Lonchura striata: one gene and its partner. The protein of the gene in region 1 binds, or shares a complex with, the protein of each later gene. Links are inferred from orthologs where the notes say so. Each region holds a gene or a part of one and is shown on either strand. Other genes may lie near its edges. The genes, in order: KIF18A and KIFBP.

The links.
Region 2: the proteins of KIF18A (region 1) and KIFBP are in contact, whole or in part, in a cryo-EM structure (PDB 7RSI), measured with the Homo sapiens proteins. The link is inferred for Lonchura striata from reciprocal best matches to the Homo sapiens genes KIF18A and KIFBP. Residues at the interface, in NP_112494.3 of Homo sapiens: Glu181, Thr183, Gln184, Lys185, Gly186, Arg274, Phe275, Val276, Glu277, Gly278, Thr279, Asn280, Ile281, Arg283, Ser284, Leu285, Leu288, Gly289, Val291, Ile292, Arg314, Lys317, Asp318, Gly322, Asn323; in NP_056449.1 of Homo sapiens: Ser150, Glu151, Tyr212, Tyr213, Gln216, His220, Gln238, Ile251, Asn252, Thr255, Gln258, Asn262, Gly414, Tyr415, Val459, Asp460, Leu461, Asn462, Pro463, Gln464, Leu467.

The regions. Positions count from the first base shown.
Region 1 is NC_134608.1:61,992,880-62,002,250, forward strand, and holds the start of KIF18A (kinesin-like protein KIF18A), read left to right. Parts: upstream 1-5,328; 5' UTR 5,329-5,483; intron 5,484-6,136; exon of another isoform or gene 6,137-6,265; 5' UTR 6,266-6,324; coding exon 6,325-6,649; intron 6,650-7,315; coding exon 7,316-7,473; intron 7,474-8,369; coding exon 8,370-8,474; intron 8,475-9,371.
Region 2 is NC_134609.1:34,940,131-34,949,693, reverse strand, and holds the start of KIFBP (KIF-binding protein), read left to right. Parts: upstream 1-5,759; 5' UTR 5,760-5,787; coding exon 5,788-6,129; intron 6,130-8,401; coding exon 8,402-8,500; intron 8,501-9,563. Other genes in the region: nucleolar RNA helicase 2, read left to right, coding at 17-162, 421-570, 1,365-1,526, 2,085-2,204, 2,630-2,703, 3,460-3,619, 4,163-4,297, 4,677-4,721 and 1 more. UniProt on the Homo sapiens protein: Activator of KIF1B plus-end-directed microtubule motor activity. Required for organization of axonal microtubules, and axonal outgrowth and maintenance during peripheral and central nervous system development.

The DNA of each region.
Region 1 (9,371 bases):
ACATGCACTGCTCACTCCCTCTTCCCTGCCTCACTCCACTCCTGTGTGGCACTGAGAGGAGAATGGGAAGCACAGAAGGCGAAGATCAGGGGCTGAGGTAAGAACAGTTTACAGGAAATGCAATGGGATAAGAAAATAAAAAGTAACCAACAAATAAACAGCAAAAGTGCACAAGGGAGGGGAGGGATTCCCACGGGAATTCTCACCATTCTACCACAAACAATATCTGACTGCCACCACTCTGCCCTGCCCTGGGAAAGGACCCTTTCCCCATGCCCAGAAAATGACATGAGGTGCTATAAAATTGCCTCTGGGTTCTGGCCATGGCCTCTCCTGCCTACTGCAATAATTAACCCTGTCCTGTCCAGAACCAGGACACAGGCATAGGAAACAACAAATCATCCTTTCTGAAGAGCTAACTTTTCCAGTATAACTGCAGCCCACAAATTATTTTATCTACCATGTACGTATATCAAGAGTTTTTTTCATTGCATAGTGCATCATTTTTTTTCTGTAAATATGTTGCAGATGTCCTTTCTCACAAAAAGAAGGGGACAAGGTGAAGAAGTCTATTATCTTTGTTCTCTGAGTGATGTTCAAGGCCAATAAAGGGCAAGAATCCAAGGCCATTCTTTCTCTTGTTTAACCAATTCTGCGCATAAGAACCAGACTTTAAGAGCCATACTAGACAATCACTGTTAACATTATAAAGGAAGATTTTTTTTTTCCTTTTATTCATGAGTATTTCTGTGACATGCCAGAGATTCTTTTTTTATATAATATATTTATATTTTTTTTATTTACATCTCTGTTTAATACAGCCTTCCTACCTGCATACTCTGATAGGATCCTTTCTTCTTTTAAGCCAGAAAGCCAGTTTTAGTCTTTTGTTTCTAGACAATTGCTCCTGACCCCATGCCGCAGTTTTGGTTGTGCCAACACACCTGCACATGGAGTTGCCTGGGTTAGGATAAAAAGCTTTCAGGTTTTTCAGTTTGTTATTTAACCTGAGTGCATCTACAGCATATTGCCATAAATGCTTCAAGTTGCCACACTCAGATGACAATATCAGAAGGGCAGGAAACATTGGTAAGGGGGAAGAATGATGTATGAAAATCATGAGGGTATCTTGTGAGATAGTTTGTGATTGATAGGATATTTTTAATAAAGCATTTTTTAAGTTACTAAAATTTAAAATGACATCACAAAAGTCAGGAAAAAAAAATTTAGTTATGGCTCCTCTTTTTCAGCACCACACCTTTTGGACATATTCTTAGTAATTTTATTCCTGGTATTTCTGTTATGTGCAGAAGTGGAACACATGTCTAGGTTCACTTCTTCCCTCTATCCATTTTTAAAAATTTTTGAATAATGTTTGTTTTCAGGGAAAGTTTGTTTTTCTGCTCTTAATGGCCTGGGTCATAATTTCTGTTGCTATGTTTGACGTTTCTACAGTGTGAATTCGGTAGCAGTAATATTAGTAATAACAACACCCCAGCAGATAAGAAATAGAAAACAGAGGGTTTAATAGTCCCATCACCAGAACACTTTTTTCATGTGAATAACACGTGCCTGAAACAGCTATCTTAAATGACATGAAATTAAATTAACTAATATTCAAATCTTCCAAGTCTTCCATACTTGTGGAATTTGGATTTGGTCCTTTGCTCTTGCTCAGTCTGGGGCTGGGCTGTTATGAGACACCTTTTTTTTCTTCTTTTGGATCTGCTACTAGTTCAATTGTCTGGGCAGTAGAGCTGTCAGGTAACTGCATTTTCCACTTCCCCTTCTGCAGCTCAGAGGAGAAAGGGGGATGGACCTTCTAGGACCAGTGACCTTCTCTACACCAATCCTGCCTCTTCTCCAGAGAAGGGCTACATTTTTTCGGATTCATTTGGCTTTCTATGGGATTGCTACTTGTACAACCTTGAAGGTAACTTTGAAATCAGGACAAGCTGGCTTTAATCTTTATTGTTGAAGCCATAAAAGAGCTTGCTTTAATATTTTCAGTAATGTTTTCCCAAAATTTATTTTCACGTCAGTACACTCTCTTCACACCCTCAATAATTCCACTGCCTATTCTCCAAGACTTAAAATAACTAGTTGTTTCTTTAGCTTCCAGCTCTACCTTTGGGAAGAGTAGCAGATTTTCCTCTCATTAATTCACTTCCCATTATTTAATCTCAGCCATTTTTATTGTCAGTTACATGTCTTATTACTATGCTCATGTGATAGCTTTCCTAGTCATCACTGACCATTTTTATTTCAGTTTGGCATTTTCTCTTTAATGTCTCTTACTTTTAATTTAACATATACTAATTTTATTTTAAAAGATCATCAGTTTCCCAGTAACCTATTTTGCTGTCTTTCATCTCTTCCTGTTCATTCCTCAATTATGAACTGTAGAGACTATGGACAGGTTTTATGGGATATATATTATAAAAGCAGGCTTTTGGCTGTGAAAATAAACAGAAATTTAAAAATTCATCAGAATTAAATGAAGTGGAAACCTAAATCCACATGCTAGGCAAAGACCCTCATTTGTCTTGCCATACATAACATAGATTTTTCTTTAAACAGGCCTTCACCAAGAAAAATAGATGTGCTGACCTCTTACCCTTAGCTCTATCAGAGGACATGCAGAAATGTCTCACACTCCATAAAGTGTGACCATACACACTTAAAGCTAATATTATATATAAATAGTATTTTTTATATGTAAGTATAGTATATATATCTATTTATATCTATTGTATGTAATACTATATATTGAATTATATATACTAGTATTATATATTAAACTAATACAACTATATAATATATATTGTTAATATAGCTATATTTATTATATTATGTTATATTATGTTATATTATATGCTATAATTATTTATAACTGCCTCTCACTCTTGTGTAGAAACATAATAGTCTCTCACTGGAGACTATACTGTTTGGAAGAATCCCCACCAACTTTCAGACCATAGAGAGGTGGGTTCAGTTCTCGTTGTTAACTCTGTTCCCTCGTTTCCACTGAAACATGCCTAACTTGAAATGGGAAGGTTTACCTGTCAGTTCTGCTGTGTTAATCCTTTGTTCTGCTGCTTGGAGAGGTCAGTGGGCTGTTTGAACAGGGATGGTGGTACAGCTGCTCTGGCAAACTGCACTGATGCCACGCTGCAAGGCTCAAGGGTTATGCTCCCCTGAACTGACCCAAAGATCTCCAACAATTCCCGCCCACAACCACCGCCACTTCCTAGCCTTTTGTTCCTGTCTTTGCCTCACCTCTTCACTCCAAATGCCACTGTCTGGGTGCACACAGTGACTGTTCAGATATTTTGATAGCATGGCCATGAAATCACAAATCGTTTCTTCTCAATTTCAGTAACTGTTTCATCCCTGCTGGGTTAAATAGCATCACTTACTACCTTCTGTAGCTTCTATCTGTCTGCACAAATGAGCAGGCAACATGTTTTGCTTCAGATACGAGCAAATTTTTGGGAAACTGATCCTTGATTCCAACACTTACTAATTTAGAAACAGATAATTTTCAATATAAGGTTTTAATTATGGTCTCATTTATGGCAGTTCTATTATTGTAAAATTGACAAATCTCTTGGATAGCCAATATTCTTATGGGCAGCATGACTTAATACATGTTAAATACTACACATTTAATTTTACTGATAAAGTCTGAAATTCATGTCATCTCACAACCTTACATATTCTTTCAATCAAAAAACTCTCCTTCTATGTCTGCCCCTTTCCACACTGCTAGAAATGGCAAAATCAGGCTTCTGAGATTCCCTTTTTCTCTTTTTCAAGTGAAATGCAAAGGTTTAAAAATCACTGGAGAAAACAGGAATTCAAGCCCTATATTATTTACATGAGTAAGAATTCTACAGATGGAGCCTGACATAAAGGTGATTCAGTGGCGTGGGTTAAGAAATTTCTCCAAACCTTTTTACACAAATAGGAATATCTCATCTAGTGTTTTTCTGAGACTTTTATATTGTATTTTGAGTAATTACATATTTCAGGTATTTTCTTTATGTGTGGACTTACTGGAACTGACTTTTCATTGAGCAGTGAGGTAGACTGGTAAAATCTAATTTGTAGTCTTTGCTTCCAATACAGACTACAGGGACTTTACAGTAATTCCCCCAGCTTAAATTTGCAAGTGCACCTCACTCTAGCTTTGGGCAGACACGCAGGTGTGTGTTTCACCACAAGCCATAGTGTGCCTACAGAAAACACATCTATGACCATGGTGTGCTCTGCTGGTTTTGCCCGGGCTGGAGTTAATTTTCTCCCCAGCAGCTGAGCTGGGGCTGGTTTGGATTTCTGCTGGCACAGCACGGAGGAGACACAGCTGGGCAGGAGACCCAGATGCACCCAAGGGATATTCCAGACCAAAGGACACGGTAATCCGGACAGAAACGCGGGAAGAGGACGACTGGGGTGGTGGCATTGGTGTTCCCAAGTGACCACTGTTATCTGCGATGGGCCCCGCTCTCCTGGAGATGGCTGGACCAGGGGAAGGCATTCCTTGTTTTGCTCTGCCTGCCTGCACAGCCTTTGACTCCCCCGTGAAACTCTCTCCACTCAGCCGCTGTTTCTGCCTTCCCACCCTTCCCCTTCTGTCCCGGCCCCTCTGTGAGGGCGAGGAGCGGCTGAACGGGACCAGGGCCACCATCCCCTGCCCGGCCCGGGGGTGACGCGAGGGACTCCGCTCACAGCCACGGCCTCCTGCCCACGGGAGATCTCAGCGGCGAGCACGCCGGCCGGATTTCATTTCATTTCTCTAACAGTGCTCGCCAGAAGGGAACCGGGCCCCACTGCAGGCTGCCGCCCTGGGATCGGCCCTGCGCTAAAGCAGCGAGGACAAAATCCCCGCCCGAAGCACTTTCGGTCAGAGCCGACCGGAGCAGCGGCAGCGGCCGCGGCCCGCGCCGGGCCCGAGCGGGAGGAGCGGCCGGGGGCTGTCCCCGGCCAAGCCGGGCCGGGCCGGACCGATACGCGGAGCAGAGGCCGCCCCGGGAGCGCCTCCCTTCCCTCACGCCGGCCGCCCTTCCCTCCGCGCCCTCTCTTCCCTCCCCGCGGGCCCCGCCGCCGCCCCCCGCGCGCCCGGCCTCACGCACTTACCGCCGGCGCTCCGGTGACGTCACAGGCCACAGCCAATGGGAAGGCGAGGAGCGCGGCCTGGCCGGGTTTGAATCCCGCGGCCGGCGGATGGCGGTTGGTGCTGGTGCGGCCGCGGGGAGAGCGGAGCGAGAGAGCGAGAGAGAGAGCGGGCACGGCCCGGGGAGAGCAGAGCGAGAGAGCGAGAGAGCGAGAGAGCGAGAGAGAGAGCGGGCACGGCCCGGGGAGAGCAGAGCGAGAGAGCGAGAGAGAGAGCGGGCACGGCTCGGGGAGAGCAGAGCGAGACAGCGAGCACGGCTCGGGGAGAGACGGAGCGAGAGACGGAGCGAGAGAGCGAGCACGGTCCGGTGAGAGACGGAGCGAGGGAGCGGGCACGGCCCGGCGAGGGAGCGGGCACGGCCCGGGCACGGCCGGCCGAGCCCCGGGCACGGGGAGCGGAGCCCCGGCCGCAGGCGGAGCCCGGCAGCGGCTCTGCGGCCGGCCCTGGAGCGCTCCGGCCGCAGGGCCCGGCCCGGCGCCGTGCCCCGGGGAGGAGCGGCCCGCGGGGCCAGGCGCTGCCGCGGAGCCGGGCGGGCCGGCAGCGGCTCGGCCGGGAGAGGAGCCGGCCCTGGGCCGGCAGCGGGAGCTGCGCCGTGTCCGCCGCTGGGGTGAGCGCAGCCGCTGGGAACCGCAGAAATGGGATATGCGAGGAAATCCCGCTCGTGTCGGTCACTGCGGCCCGTGCCGGGCACCTTCACCTAAATCCCGCTTCAGCTCTTCAACGCTCCCTGCGACGTGGCTGTGTCTGTCCAGGGAGGGCAACACGGGAAAGGCTGCTGGCTTTAGCCCACAGAAACGTGGTGTCCGGTCTGAAAGCTGGGTCTGCTATAGAGGGAAGCCTGTAGGGCATTGAGTATTTGAATTGTGAAATGAACTTCAGAGTTCCCTGGGGCAGTGCTGGTCGGCTTTCTGAGAGCTGTGCTGAGTTCAGTCATCCTTTGGGGCGCTTACAGAGCTTCCCAAAGCCTCGCTGCCCTGGGGCAGTCCCATGACAAGGGATGGGCCCAGCACAGGGCCCTGACCGAATGTGTGAATGGCTGGAAAGAGTGAAGGCTCATATTGAAATAAATGTTCTCTGTGTCAATTGCAGAAAGGATTCAGCTGCTGGATCTGACCGAGTGCTGGCAGTGAGGCTGGGGAGCAGGAGGGATGACTCCAGCCAGGGAAGATGTCTGCAGCCATGTCAAAGTGGTGGTCCGTGTCCGGCCAGAGAGCCAGAAAGAAAAGCAGGGCAGCTTCAGCAGGGTGGTGCGTGTCATTGACCAGCACGTGCTGGTCTTTGACCCAAAGGAGGAAGAGGTTGGCTTCTTCAGCAGAAGGAGAGTGATCCATAGGGATATCAATAAAAGACAAAGGAAAGACCTGAAGTTCATGTTTGATGCCATTTTTGATGACAGCTCATCCCAGTTGGAAGTTTTTGAGCATACTACCAAAAATCTAATTGATGGCTTCCTAAATGGATATAACTGTACAGGTAACTTTGTTATTTATCTTATTTAATTGAAAAACTTACGGGGATTTCTCAACATTTGTACCATTCTGTCCAATAGCTGCAGGAGCGTTAAAAAAGCCTGAGATAGAAATAAAGCATTGTGATTTAATTCACAGATATGAAAGGCTGACATTTTAGCATATAGAAGTTAGATAGCTCTACTCCATTTTAAAAATAAGTTTGTGTTAAGGTTATAATAGACTTGGGAATTTTATCTAAAATATATGTGATAATGGGAGTCCTCTAGAGTTATTCAAGCAGAAGCAGTTGTGTCACTGAGTGTATGACATAAGCTGCTTTATGAACTCTTTAAGATCTTGGGGCTTTTTAATTGGCTGCTGGACTCTGGTGAGGAATTGAAATGCCTATCAGCAATAAGTTGATGGCTTAGGGTTATGAGAGTAAGTAAATAATATTTTTATGTGACGTAGCAGTGAATGAATTTTGAACTGAAAATTCGAAAATGTTATTTGGAAACATCTCTAATTAGAGATCTGAAAGGTAAAGTTTAAGTAAGAAACTATCTATTTATGAAACAGTTGTGCAGAATGACAGAGGTCTATAAATGTTCTTTTGTCTTTGGTGTTCCTGATTAGCTTACAAATAAGTTACATGTTTTTGTTTTGTCGTTGTTTGGGGGAAATTCAGTGCTTGCATATGGTGCAACAGGAGCTGGAAAGACTCACACAATGTTAGGTTCTCCTGAAGATCCTGGAGTCATGTATTTAACTATGGTCACACTTTATAAACGCATGGATCAAATAAAAGATGATAAAACATGTGATGTTGCTGTCTCTTATTTGGAGGTGAGTTCCTGCATTTTATATGTTGCTTTGAATAAGTCATATTTGTAAGTAAAGACAAGCTGGTTTTGCTTTCCTCTGGTCCTTTCTGGGGCTTGACAAAAGGTGTCCTTATAGGAGTGGAACTGCCTTGTTGGTGTTCCTTGTTGGTGATTTGTGTTCCTAGGCACCTATCACTGTTTTACAGAATGCTGCCCAAAAAACACCACTTCTACCATACTTACTGATTGTTCATGATTTGTGTCTTGCCTCTGAGCATCTGTTGATGTGTACAAGGAAATATCATTTCAGGGTAATATTTTAGGACTTCACAGTAACATCCTGTAATACTGTGAAAAAGCACCACAAAATGGTCTTCTGTTTTTACAAATAAATGTTTTGGCACTGTTGCTGAAGGGTGCTAGTCAAATGGTTATCTTTTTAGCTCCTTCAGTGTCTTAATGGACTCTAGTTGGTACTTGGGAGGGGTAGAAGGAGATGGGGAAAGTTTGCCTTGCCATATGCTTCTACAGACCAAGAAATAAGAGATTTAAAAATTTTAACAGAAGTAGGTTTGAACTAAGAAATGTCACTGAAGTAGGGATTGTGATACACAATGGGGAAAACCAAATGCTTTGCATTCATGCTTGTTGCAAAACTGTTTTTTTGTAAAAAAAGGTAATTTTTTCAATAAAGAATAAAGATTATTTACTAAAAATAATTACTCCTAAAATCTAAAAAGAAATCATATGAATTGAATATTTAAGCTTGGTATGGGGAAAATGTAAAAAAATTATAGCCAGAATTCTTTTCTTTGTCCTAAAGGAGTATTAAAAAAGACTGGTGAATTCTGTTTATTTAATTCTGTCAGCTATGGGAAGATATTTTTATAAAAATATCTTTTTCATTTCCTTTCAAAGGTTTACAATGAACAGATTCGTGATCTGCTGGTCAACTCTGGACCTCTGGCTGTTCGTGAGGATGGCCAGCAAGGGGTGGTAGTTCAAGGTCTGACACTGCATCAGGTGTGTAAATATCTCTAGAAACTTAAAATGTGCTTGAGATATTTGAGAACATTCCCATTGTTCTATGTGAGAGTTTAATGGAATTTGATCATTTCCTAGTGGGTTTTTTTCTGGCAATAAGCACCAGTAACTTGAAAATCTAATTAATTAGTTAAAAGTACATTGTGGAAAAAAACCTGCTAGTCTTGTTGAATGAAAATATAGAAGCATTCAGTCTTTGATATCAAAAGGGTACATTGACTTGATGCTTATCCAGCAGATTTTGGAAGATTTGTTTTTGGGCTAAAATATCTTGGCATTGCCTTCATTACCACCTTGGAGTGCTCTACACAGCTGTGAAGTCTAAAGGTTGTTTTTGTTTGTAAATAACCATGTTTTAAGAGTTCCATGTTAACTTACTTTTCCAGACCAGCACAGCAATTCTTTGGTAAGGTCAGTGATAGAATTTAGTTTTCCAATCTGAATATCCATTCCTGTGGACCTATTTTCTTGCAGCTTTGTGTGTGTTACGTGCTGTGACAGGAAACAATATTCTAAGCTTGCCTAGCTCTGTGAACATACTTCTTCCCAAACCTTGAGTCTTGTGAGGAAAAGACTTCTCTTGTAGTAAAGCATTGAATAGTGGTATACTAATTTAAGTCCAGACATTCCAATCTAAAAATATTTTCTGATTTAAGTTGCTGCACTTAAGTGCTTGCTTCTCATACCTTACTGCTTTTTAGCTGAGAATATTTGACGTGCCTCAATTCAAAACCAGGAAATTTCTTACTTCTAGGTAGCTAAAATTTGAAGTTTAATTTTTTTTGAAGGCAAATGTTAAAGTAAATGTATTTTCGAATCAGTGTATTCCTATAATGGATGGAAAAGGAAAGAAACTTATATATTTATGTGTTCTAC
Region 2 (9,563 bases), on another chromosome or scaffold:
TGGCCTTTCCTTGCAGGCTCCGAGAACAACCCGCAGACGCTGCTGTTCTCTGCAACTTGTCCACGATGGGTTTATGATGTAGCAAAAAAATACATGCGAGATGAATATGAACAGATTGACCTGATTGGAAAGAAGACTCAAAGGACAGCCACAACTGTGGAAGTGAGTTCTGCTGCAGAGAAGTGCAGATCCTGAGAGCAAGTGGCCTTGATAACATGGGTTATGCATTGATTTTATAAATAGGTGTGTGGAATGACTTTTCACATAGCCGACACACAGATTTTGTAAGCAAAGCTTACATGTGGGACCTGTTGTTTGCAAGCTTAAAAAAAAAATTAAAATGCTTCTTTTGTTCATGCTGTCCGTCCTGTGTGTGTGTGTCTCAGATTAACATAGGTTTCTTGTTTCTTTCCCAAACAGCACTTGGCCATACAGTGTCGCTCATCTCAGAGGGCAGGAGTTCTTGGGGACATCATCCAGGTCTACAGTGGCAGCCATGGGCGGACCATTGTCTTTTGTGAGACCAAAAAGGAAGCAAATGAGTTGGCTATGAATGCTTCTCTCAAACAGGTACCAGAGCTGAGTGGTTGGGATTGCCAGGCGTTGAATGCCCTGAAGTAAATAGGAGGTTGCAACTGTGTAGAGAAAATTGTTCCTGTGCATGATTTTAAGACTTGTTTCTAAAAATTCAGCTTTGAAGTTAAAATATCCTCGTGACAGAGATGATGAATTTATTCCTTTGGCTTTAAATTAGTGTAGGAATGGATCAATAGGAAATACACAGCCTATGCTGAATAACCAGGAGATAGTACTAATTGCAAGAAACAGGAGCTAGTGTAGTGGACAAGTCCCATCTTGTGTTAATGTGCTTTTTGGATTCCCATTTATTAATGGCATTTGGTCTTTGAACAGTCATTTAGGAAAATCCAATATGGTAGAATGAGATGTCTTGTTGCCCTTGGAAGGTTTACCAAAGTGATCTGTTGAGCAAGTCTTTCGTGCTTGCTTGAATTACTGCCCTTTTTCTGAATGTGAGGAAAAGTGCTGCATAATTCTCAGAGAAAATCCTGTTTGATAATAAATGTTGATTTATGGAGAGTAAAAGTGATGGGAATACATGGTTTGCCTATGTACCATCCGCAATAAAAAATTGCAGCAATAATTTCTGCTTGTTGGCCATGCTGCTTTCACAGTAAATCCCAGAGAAGGATCAAATAAAGTAGGATGCTTTATATTCCTTTGGTATCAGCTATGTAATTATTTTCTGTTGCTGTGCACAGTGTTTTGAGGTTTGCAGTTACTCTTTAGATGCTGCAGCCTAGACTCCCATTAAATGTCATGTTAATGGCTTGTTTTATTGACAGGATGCCCAGTCCTTGCATGGTGACATTCCACAGAAACAGAGAGAAATCACATTAAAAGGCTTCAGAAATGGTGTGTTCGAAGTGCTGATTGCAACAAATGTAGCTGCCCGTGGTTTGGATATTCCTGAGGTTGACCTTGTTATACAGTGCTCACCACCAAAAGTAAGTCATTAGAGGAAACTAAAATTGGATTAGCTTTATTTTGGTGCCAGAATAGTGGGTTATTCCTTTGTTTCATCAGAAGTATGTTCTGTTCCAATTAATTTTTGAATTAATTAATGTTTTGTAAATGTGAGGCCTAAAATTTCATAGTTACAGTTTTTCAGTTTGAGCTTTGATTAAAGTCTTGGGTTTTGTTTACTCTGGAAACTCACAGGTTTTGACATTGTGAAACTTTCCTGAATTCTTTCTGCATGTTGCTGAGTTTCATAAAAATTCTAAAATATTTTTGCTGCTTTTTTAATCTTTTGCAACTCCAGTGGAACATTTTATTTAGAAAACTTAAAATGTCTGTCAGCAGTGTTTGTTAAAGCTGAGCAGCATACTTTGGGTGGGGGAGCACATGCAATCCTGAGTGGTTTATGTGTAATTGTAAGTTTGGGTATAAACACATAATGTGTCACTCCTTAGGCTTCTGAGTTTGAATTTAGCTTGTGTTTAATCTGAAATGTCAGCAGTTTAAATAACATAGTTTTCTCGTGTTGATCTGAATTTGTGAAGGATGTGGATTCTTACATCCACCGTTCTGGACGCACGGGCCGAGCGGGCCGGACCGGCATCTGCATTTGTTTGTTTCAGAGAAGAGAAGAAGATCTTCTGAAGCAAGTCGAGCACAAAGCGGTGAGTTGTACCTCAGAGCTCTGCTTAAGGAAATGGATCAGCTCCTGAAAGGACCCTGCCACTCTTGGACTTGGTAATCGTGGGTTGCTGAGTCCAGAATGGGAGTGTCCAGTGCCATAAACTAGTAGGCCCAAAGTGCTGATATTTGGTGTTTGTAAATGCTTTTGTGTTGGCCTGTTCTTGCATTGCCTGAGTTTTCCCGTGCAACATGCACTGTGTGCCTTGCATCACAGTGTGCATGTACATTGGAGTGAAGTAACTCCAGATTAACAAAGCTGGGAACTTAAAAGCTTTTTTATCACTTTAGAAATGACTTAATAAAGAGTATGTTGATCTTGCAAACAGTAAGTAGAGATCTCAGTTACATAATTTAGACAGGACTGAATTGTAGACTGCTGAAAATACCTTTGTTTTCTTGATTTCAGGGTATTACCTTTAAGCGTGTGGGTGTTCCCTCTGCTACAGATGTAATTAAAGCTTCAAGTAGTGATGCCAAAAAGTAAGTTTATTTGCCTGTTCTTGAGAAAGATTTAGAGATGTTGTTGCTCTAGATGCTTAAGAGTTTAATGCACAATTTTAAGGGATCAGGCCTACATGTGAGCATGGCTTTGCCTGTGTTGTAGAAGTCAGCTGCTTTGTGTATAGCAAACATAAGATGGTATCAGTAACGCTCTGTGTGCTGAACACAGACATTTTCATAGAACATAATGTTCTCTAAGTTTTTGCAGCAAACGAACCTTTGTTTATAAAATCAGAAATCAGTGACAGAAGAAGGAATTACTATCAAGAGGGGAAGATGATTTTATCTGCTCAGATGACGTGGTGGAAGCAGTGCGCAAAGAGCAATACTTGGTATAATGAGGAGTTATTCTGCAGTAGTGAGGGTGTTTTAGCCCTGACTTTTGTTTCATTATATTATTTCTGAGGGTTGTGGCTCTGTTTACATCATGCAGCTCTGTTTAAATTTGCTGCCCTGTGGTGGAAATTGCCTTGAAGCAGGTTATTATAATTAGTGAGGATTTGACCAGTATAAAGTAGATGATGGGCATGGTATTTGGGTTCACAGTGTACTGAAAAATGATGGGGGGAGTGGTTGTACCAGAAATAGCATTACAGAAGTATCTCTTCTTGGATTCCTATCTTTTTTCCCTCCCTACCTTTTTCAGAAAAGACTGATTTAGGGTATATCTTAAACATGGCTGCCCTTCACAATGGCCTTTTCTTATCTCTTTAAACCCATCTTGTAACTGTGTAGGTTGTTGGAGGCTGTTCCTCCTGCTGCAGTGGACTACTTCAGAAAATCGGCCGAGGAGCTGATAAATGAGAAGGGGGCAGTGGCTGCCCTGGCTGCAGCCCTGGCACACATTTCTGGGGCAGCTCACATCCAGCAGCGCTCCCTGCTCAACTCAACAGCTGTAAGTAATGATGTACCCCTGGTAAAAAGGATGGATGCATGAATTGCTTGTGTTTAGGCCATGTCTGGCATCTCATTCCCAGGCTTTTCCTTCTGGGTTTCTGAATAGCTGTTGTCCCCAGGTTCCTTAGCTGAAATCAGCTGTTCCAGGAGAAACTTAAAATCAGTAAACTTTCTTGTGATGAAAATGGAAAGAATTTCTCCAGAGGCTGAAGTGGCAGAAAACTTTGATGCTCTAAGAGAGTTTAACTAATGACATTTTACAATTAATGACAATTTACAAGCAAATAGATTAGTTTGTGCTATTGTGGTTTCCCCCTTATCAAGAATCTTCTACATTTGTCGTAATGCAAGTACAGCCTGTGATTACCTGATCTGTATTTAGGGAGGATGTGGCCTAGGCCCTTGTGTGGTAACCCCATTTTGCACGTAACTGTCTGATTGAATTGTAATTCTTCTATCACTTTGGGTTTTTTAATCTGTTTTCTAGCAGCAGGTTTGACCACGTTCAGCCTTGATAAACGTTTTTCTCCATTTCCTGCAGGGCTTTGTGACCATGGTGTTGAAGTGTTCAATAGAGATGCATAGCATGCGCTATGCCTGGCGGGGGCTGAAGGAGCAGCTTGGGGAGGAGGTCGATAACAAAGTGTCTGCAATGCGTTTCCTCAAGGGGAAGATGGTAAGGTGGCCCAGCCTTGGCAATGAAGGGATGTGGGGCTTTGTGTGTGTTCACATGTCGCCAGTTTGTGCAGGGATTGAGGCTGGAGTTCTGAAGTATTGGTACAGAATGTTGGTACTGCACTGTCCCTACTCAATCTCATTTCTCAGGAAATGGGTAACCTAGCATGAGTATGCTGTTTATGCATATGCTATTGGGAAAAGAAAAGGCTTTGATATTAGTTGAGGGCTTTAAAAGACTTATTAGATAGTACTCATATATGATGATGCAGGAATTGCCTCCTAAAAAAAAGCATCAGAAATAATATGTAGTGGGATTGGTTACTGAGGCTTTTATTCTTTCATTGTTAATCAGTGCCTCTTTTTGTTTGTTTTTTTAGGGCGTGTGCTTTGATATCCCTGTTGATGAACTAAGTAGTATACAGGTATGTTTGTGTAGCCAGAGCTGGCTTTAAAACCTGGTGATATGAAAACTGGCAATTGCCATATAAGATTGAGTATGGGGTGGTTAGGGAGGTTTGTGGTTTAATAAGAATTTTGCATAGGCAACAGAGTGATTAGAAAGAGCACAGCATAATCATTAGAAAATACCCTGCCATGCCTCTTCTCATTTCCATGATATTACTTGATTTCATTAAACAAAATTCTAAGGTCTTTGGCTTTTCTGTGGTCTGGCCTCTCCAGTGTACTTGAGAATTCACCAGTTTTCTGTTGACTTCATTCTCTCTTGTCCCTTGTGATTGTTTAACCTTTGTCACAGGACTGTGAGGGTCTCCCAGGGGGATCTAATGGCCTGTTTTGGCAGGAGTGGGATTTGTCTGGAAATGCCTTAGCATAAAGTCTGGTTCCATGGGTCTTGTTTCAGGAGCAGTGGAGGGACACGCGGCGCTGGCAGCTGTCGGTGGCCAGTGAGCTGCCTGAGCTGGAGGAGTATCCGCAGGAGGGGGGACGAGGCTTCTCCAGGTTTGGGAACAGCAGGCAAGGAGACTTCAAGAGAAACAGCTGGTTCAAGAGCGGAAATCGGGGACTTCAACAGAGCACTTGATTGATCTCCCCTACAAATAGTGGGACTGAACTGAATTTTATGAGGCAGTAAAAACCTGTTAGCCTCCTCTTTGTCTTTATTCCTTGATAAAGCAACCTTGTCTTTGAGGATGGCGAAAAATCATGTTTGCTGAAATGGCTGGGTGTTGTGTGAGATTTTTTTTTCTGCCCAGCAAAGTAGCTGCTGCCTGTAAGGGCATATGTGACCCAGTGGGTGTGCCTGGAAACTCAGCCCTGCGAGGGACCAGAATTCATCCAAGCACGGACAGTGACCGCTCCGTGGCTCTTCAGCAGCGCTAAAAAATCGAGTTCTGAAATAAATTTTTGTCATAAAAGCTGGCGTCCAGCCTGAGCGGGCGGCGGGCTGGCCGCGCTGCGGGCGCTCCCTCACGGCCCGCCGGGGGCGCGGCCATGGCGGGGCGGGGCGGCGCGCGGGCAGGCGGGAAGATGGCGGCGGGCGCCGGCTGGCCCGCGGTGTGCGAGAAGTTCCGCGCCGCCCGCACGCTCTCGGCCGTGGAGTCCCTCAAGGACCCCGAGACGGAGCCCTACCGCTCCAAGTACAGCGCCCGGGCGCTGCTGCAGGAGGTGAAGCAGCTGCTGAGCGCCGCCGAGGAGGGCGGCGAGGCGGTGCTGGCCGTGCGGCGGGCCGTGCTGGAGTACGAGCTGGGCGTCAACCACACGGACACCGAGGAGCTGTCGGCCGGCGAGGAGCACCTGCAGCGCTGCACGCAGCTGCTGGAGCCGCACCGCCTGTCCCCGGACTGCGTGTCCCTGTACATCCAGGCCCAGGTGGGCTGCAGGCCGCGGGGCTGGGCGCGGGGCTCCGGCGGAGCGGGGCCTGGTGTCTGGGGGCTGGGCCGGCTGCTCTATGCGGGGGACTGTGAGGAGATCCGGGCTCCCGCGTCCTGACAGCTGCTGCTCGTTTAACCGTAATAAACACAGCAGCCCTGGCCTTCAGTTCTTGCCGGAAGGAGTCGTTCGCAAGTGGTGGCCGTTGGAGGGGTGCTTTTCTGTTTTGAGCCTCCTGCTGATGCCTCTGGGCATGCGGAGCATCTGAAATATGGCCTCGTTGAAGCTGGGTGTTGATAGATCAGCGTGCTCTTCTGGACAGGCTGAGACAAAACTTGTAAGAACTGTGCCCGAAAAAATTAGAAAAAGACCTCACTACGTCCAGAATTTGTGATTCCTTAACTCGCTGGTTGTCAGAGTGATGCTGGGGGATGCTTTATTGATGCATTATCCTGAAACAATATATTGTTTGTTTTTCAGCACTGCCTCTTATATTGTAAGCTATTACATTTTGTCCCAGATGGATAAATACAGTTTTGTTGGTGCTTGAAGTAATAATATTTTCTCTTTATTCTGAAGAAGGGAATACTGTTACCAAAATTAGTTCTTGGTGCATGAGGATTCACAGAAGGGCCCGTACTTGATCCTCTGTCATGGTAGCTGGTGGTTAGGTATCTGACTCTAGACCATGAAATAGTTTTCTAGTATATGAAATAGAGCAGTTATTTAGATATCTGTGTCAAAAACGGTTGCCCTAATTAGAGATGGCTCTATAGTGCTTCCTCATCGAACTGTCAAGGAATTGTGGGCTGACATGGAAAGGTGGAAGTGAAAGGATCACTTGTCTTACACTGGTTAAATTGGCTGCGTTGTCTGGGACAGTGAGGTTGCATCTGCTCCTTGTATTTCAGCGTGAGGGTTTGGATACGCTGCTACAATTCTGTTACCCTTGGGAAGGTAAGGAGATTGCTCCAGCTGGAGCAAAATAGCATCTTCCCACACCTTCCTGGGGAGATGTGGCTCAGGACCAGAGATTCCACTGTGCTTCTGAACTGGTGTGCTGGAAGGCAGCTCTTCTCTCTCTCTGTTAGCCCAGAGTCTGCAGGACCTCAGTGCTTCGGGGCCTTCAGGAAGCAGCAGGACGGAGTTTGTTATGCATGTGGAGATGTGGTCCAGCAGCGCTGGCTCTGCTGGTACCTGGCACTGTCCTGAGGGGTGGAGCTGAGCACAGCGCTGGGAAATGAGCCCTCAGCCCAAGGGCTGGAACAGGCTTGAGTACTTACTTTAAACCATTTCTGACTTTAAAGCAGTGATTGCCATCAGTGGAAGTACTTTTCCACCTTGTGAGGTGTCTACACTGTGTTGCCATGGCACTGACTGGCATTTTGTAGGAAGAAGCATTCCTTTTTCCTGCTGGGCCTCTTTTTTAGCCCCACTTCTGATTTCTGAGCTCTTGCATAAGATTGTGTTTCCCAGTCTCTGCCTAATGGAGTCTGGTCTGTTCCACTGCTTGGCCTTCGGCAAAGTGTTTCAGTTCATAAACAACATGGGATGTGCTTTCTTATAAAAATAGTAGAATGGAGTTGAAAGGGGCAGAGGGCTGGCATACAGCTGTACATTCTAATTATTTTGAAGGTTTTTAGGGTTTTTTTTTCTTTTGAGTTTCGTAACAGCACTGCCTAGGATTTAAACTAGCACATCATTAGGATTATTATAAACACCACCTTATTAATAAAATGAGAGGTTTTTTTTGTTAAAGTTGGGTTCAGAGATGCAGTTGCTTTAATTTAATTTTGAAGGCAGTAGTCTATAACCTTTAGACCTCAGAGGTGCTTTTCATCCTTTCCATGGTTCAAATATACAAGCATTCATTCCTAGCATATTTTTTTCTTGTTAATTTTTTCTGTGGAGTCATGTTAACAAAATTCTGATTTCTTGTCTCTTTTTATGACATTTGTCTGTGATGTAAAAGCTGCATGAATTGGATGCAGAACATACTCTGTGGAAAAAGCTCATTATTTGAACACACTAGTCCTTCTCTAGCAGAGTGAACAGAGTAGGATTGAGGTACATTTTTATATGAAATTTTCTGTGTGAAAACTCCCTCCCTTTTGAGCAACTCACAGTGAAATGTGTGGGTACAATTTCTGCCTTTTGAAATCCATGGTATTAGAACACAAATATATATAAGGATGAAGACTGATGAATTGTTTGGAAAAAAATGTGTGATTAAAATGGAATGTGACTATTTTTTTTTTTCTTTTACCTTTAGAACAATCTGGGGATCCTGTGGTCTCAAAGGGATGAAATTGAAACTGCACAAACTTACTTGGAATCTGCAGAAGCCTTGTATAATCAGTACATGAAAGAGGTATTGTGTTAATGTCGTGGCAGGTCTTACTCCCATGTGCCACTTCCAGGTTAAGTAATCCATGAAATAAACATGCAATGGAATTTTGAGTTTCTGTGCTTTATACTGGCTGCTGTGATACTTATGCCAAGTGATACAAGTTGTACTGCAGTATAGGACAAGGCAAATTAGAGCATTACTTGCTAATTTCAAAATAGAAAAAAATTTGCTCAAAAATAATGGTCCCTTTTGAAAGCCCTTTAATAATCCAAAGTTGATGCCTGGTAGAATTTGGATTTTAATGAGGACTATTGTTAAATATTATCTTGGAAATGCAATAAAAATGTCCATTGCTTTCAGTGGGAAAAGGAAATAAAACTAATATTTGCATGGTTTGCTCTGGCTGTGCAGTGTTTTGCAGGGGCAAGTAGTTCAGTTCCATATCCAAGAGGACAATCTCACAGACAGCTAACCCTCTCATGCATATTAAACAACCTTTTGAGCTGTGGATTCTGCTGTGTATACTACAAAGACTTCCTTGTGCTATTTTTAAGCTCTTTGCAAAGCTGTTCCTACACTGACTTGCCTCAGGGGCAGTTCTGGAGTGAGCTAAAAACATTTGTGGCCTTCAAGAAGCAATAGCTGTGTCTCAGGACTGCTGAATAGGTTGGACAGACCTTAGTTTCATGAAGTTACAGGTTCAGGTCAGGTTTTGCCTTGAAATTGGTTTAGATTACTGATTATACTTGTGGAGATTTTTAGATTTTTTAAATTGGTTGGTTACTGGTCTCTTTGTGCCTTTGCAGCCATGCTAGCCTACAGTGATAGGAGAGGTAATGGGTATAGAAGAAAGCCCCACTTGTGCTGAAAAGCTTGTCAGCTTAATTCCTGCCCTCTGGATCAGTTGGGCGAACCAGAGATACTGCATCTCTCTAATTTATTCCTGATGTTCAGCTTTGATATTTATACCCAGCCCCAGCTATTGCATGACTTCCAAAAGCATCTGGCACTTGCTCCAGTTATTATGAAATTAAACTGATGCTATGGTATCGTGGATTAAAGTGCTGCCAGGTACTTCATGTTT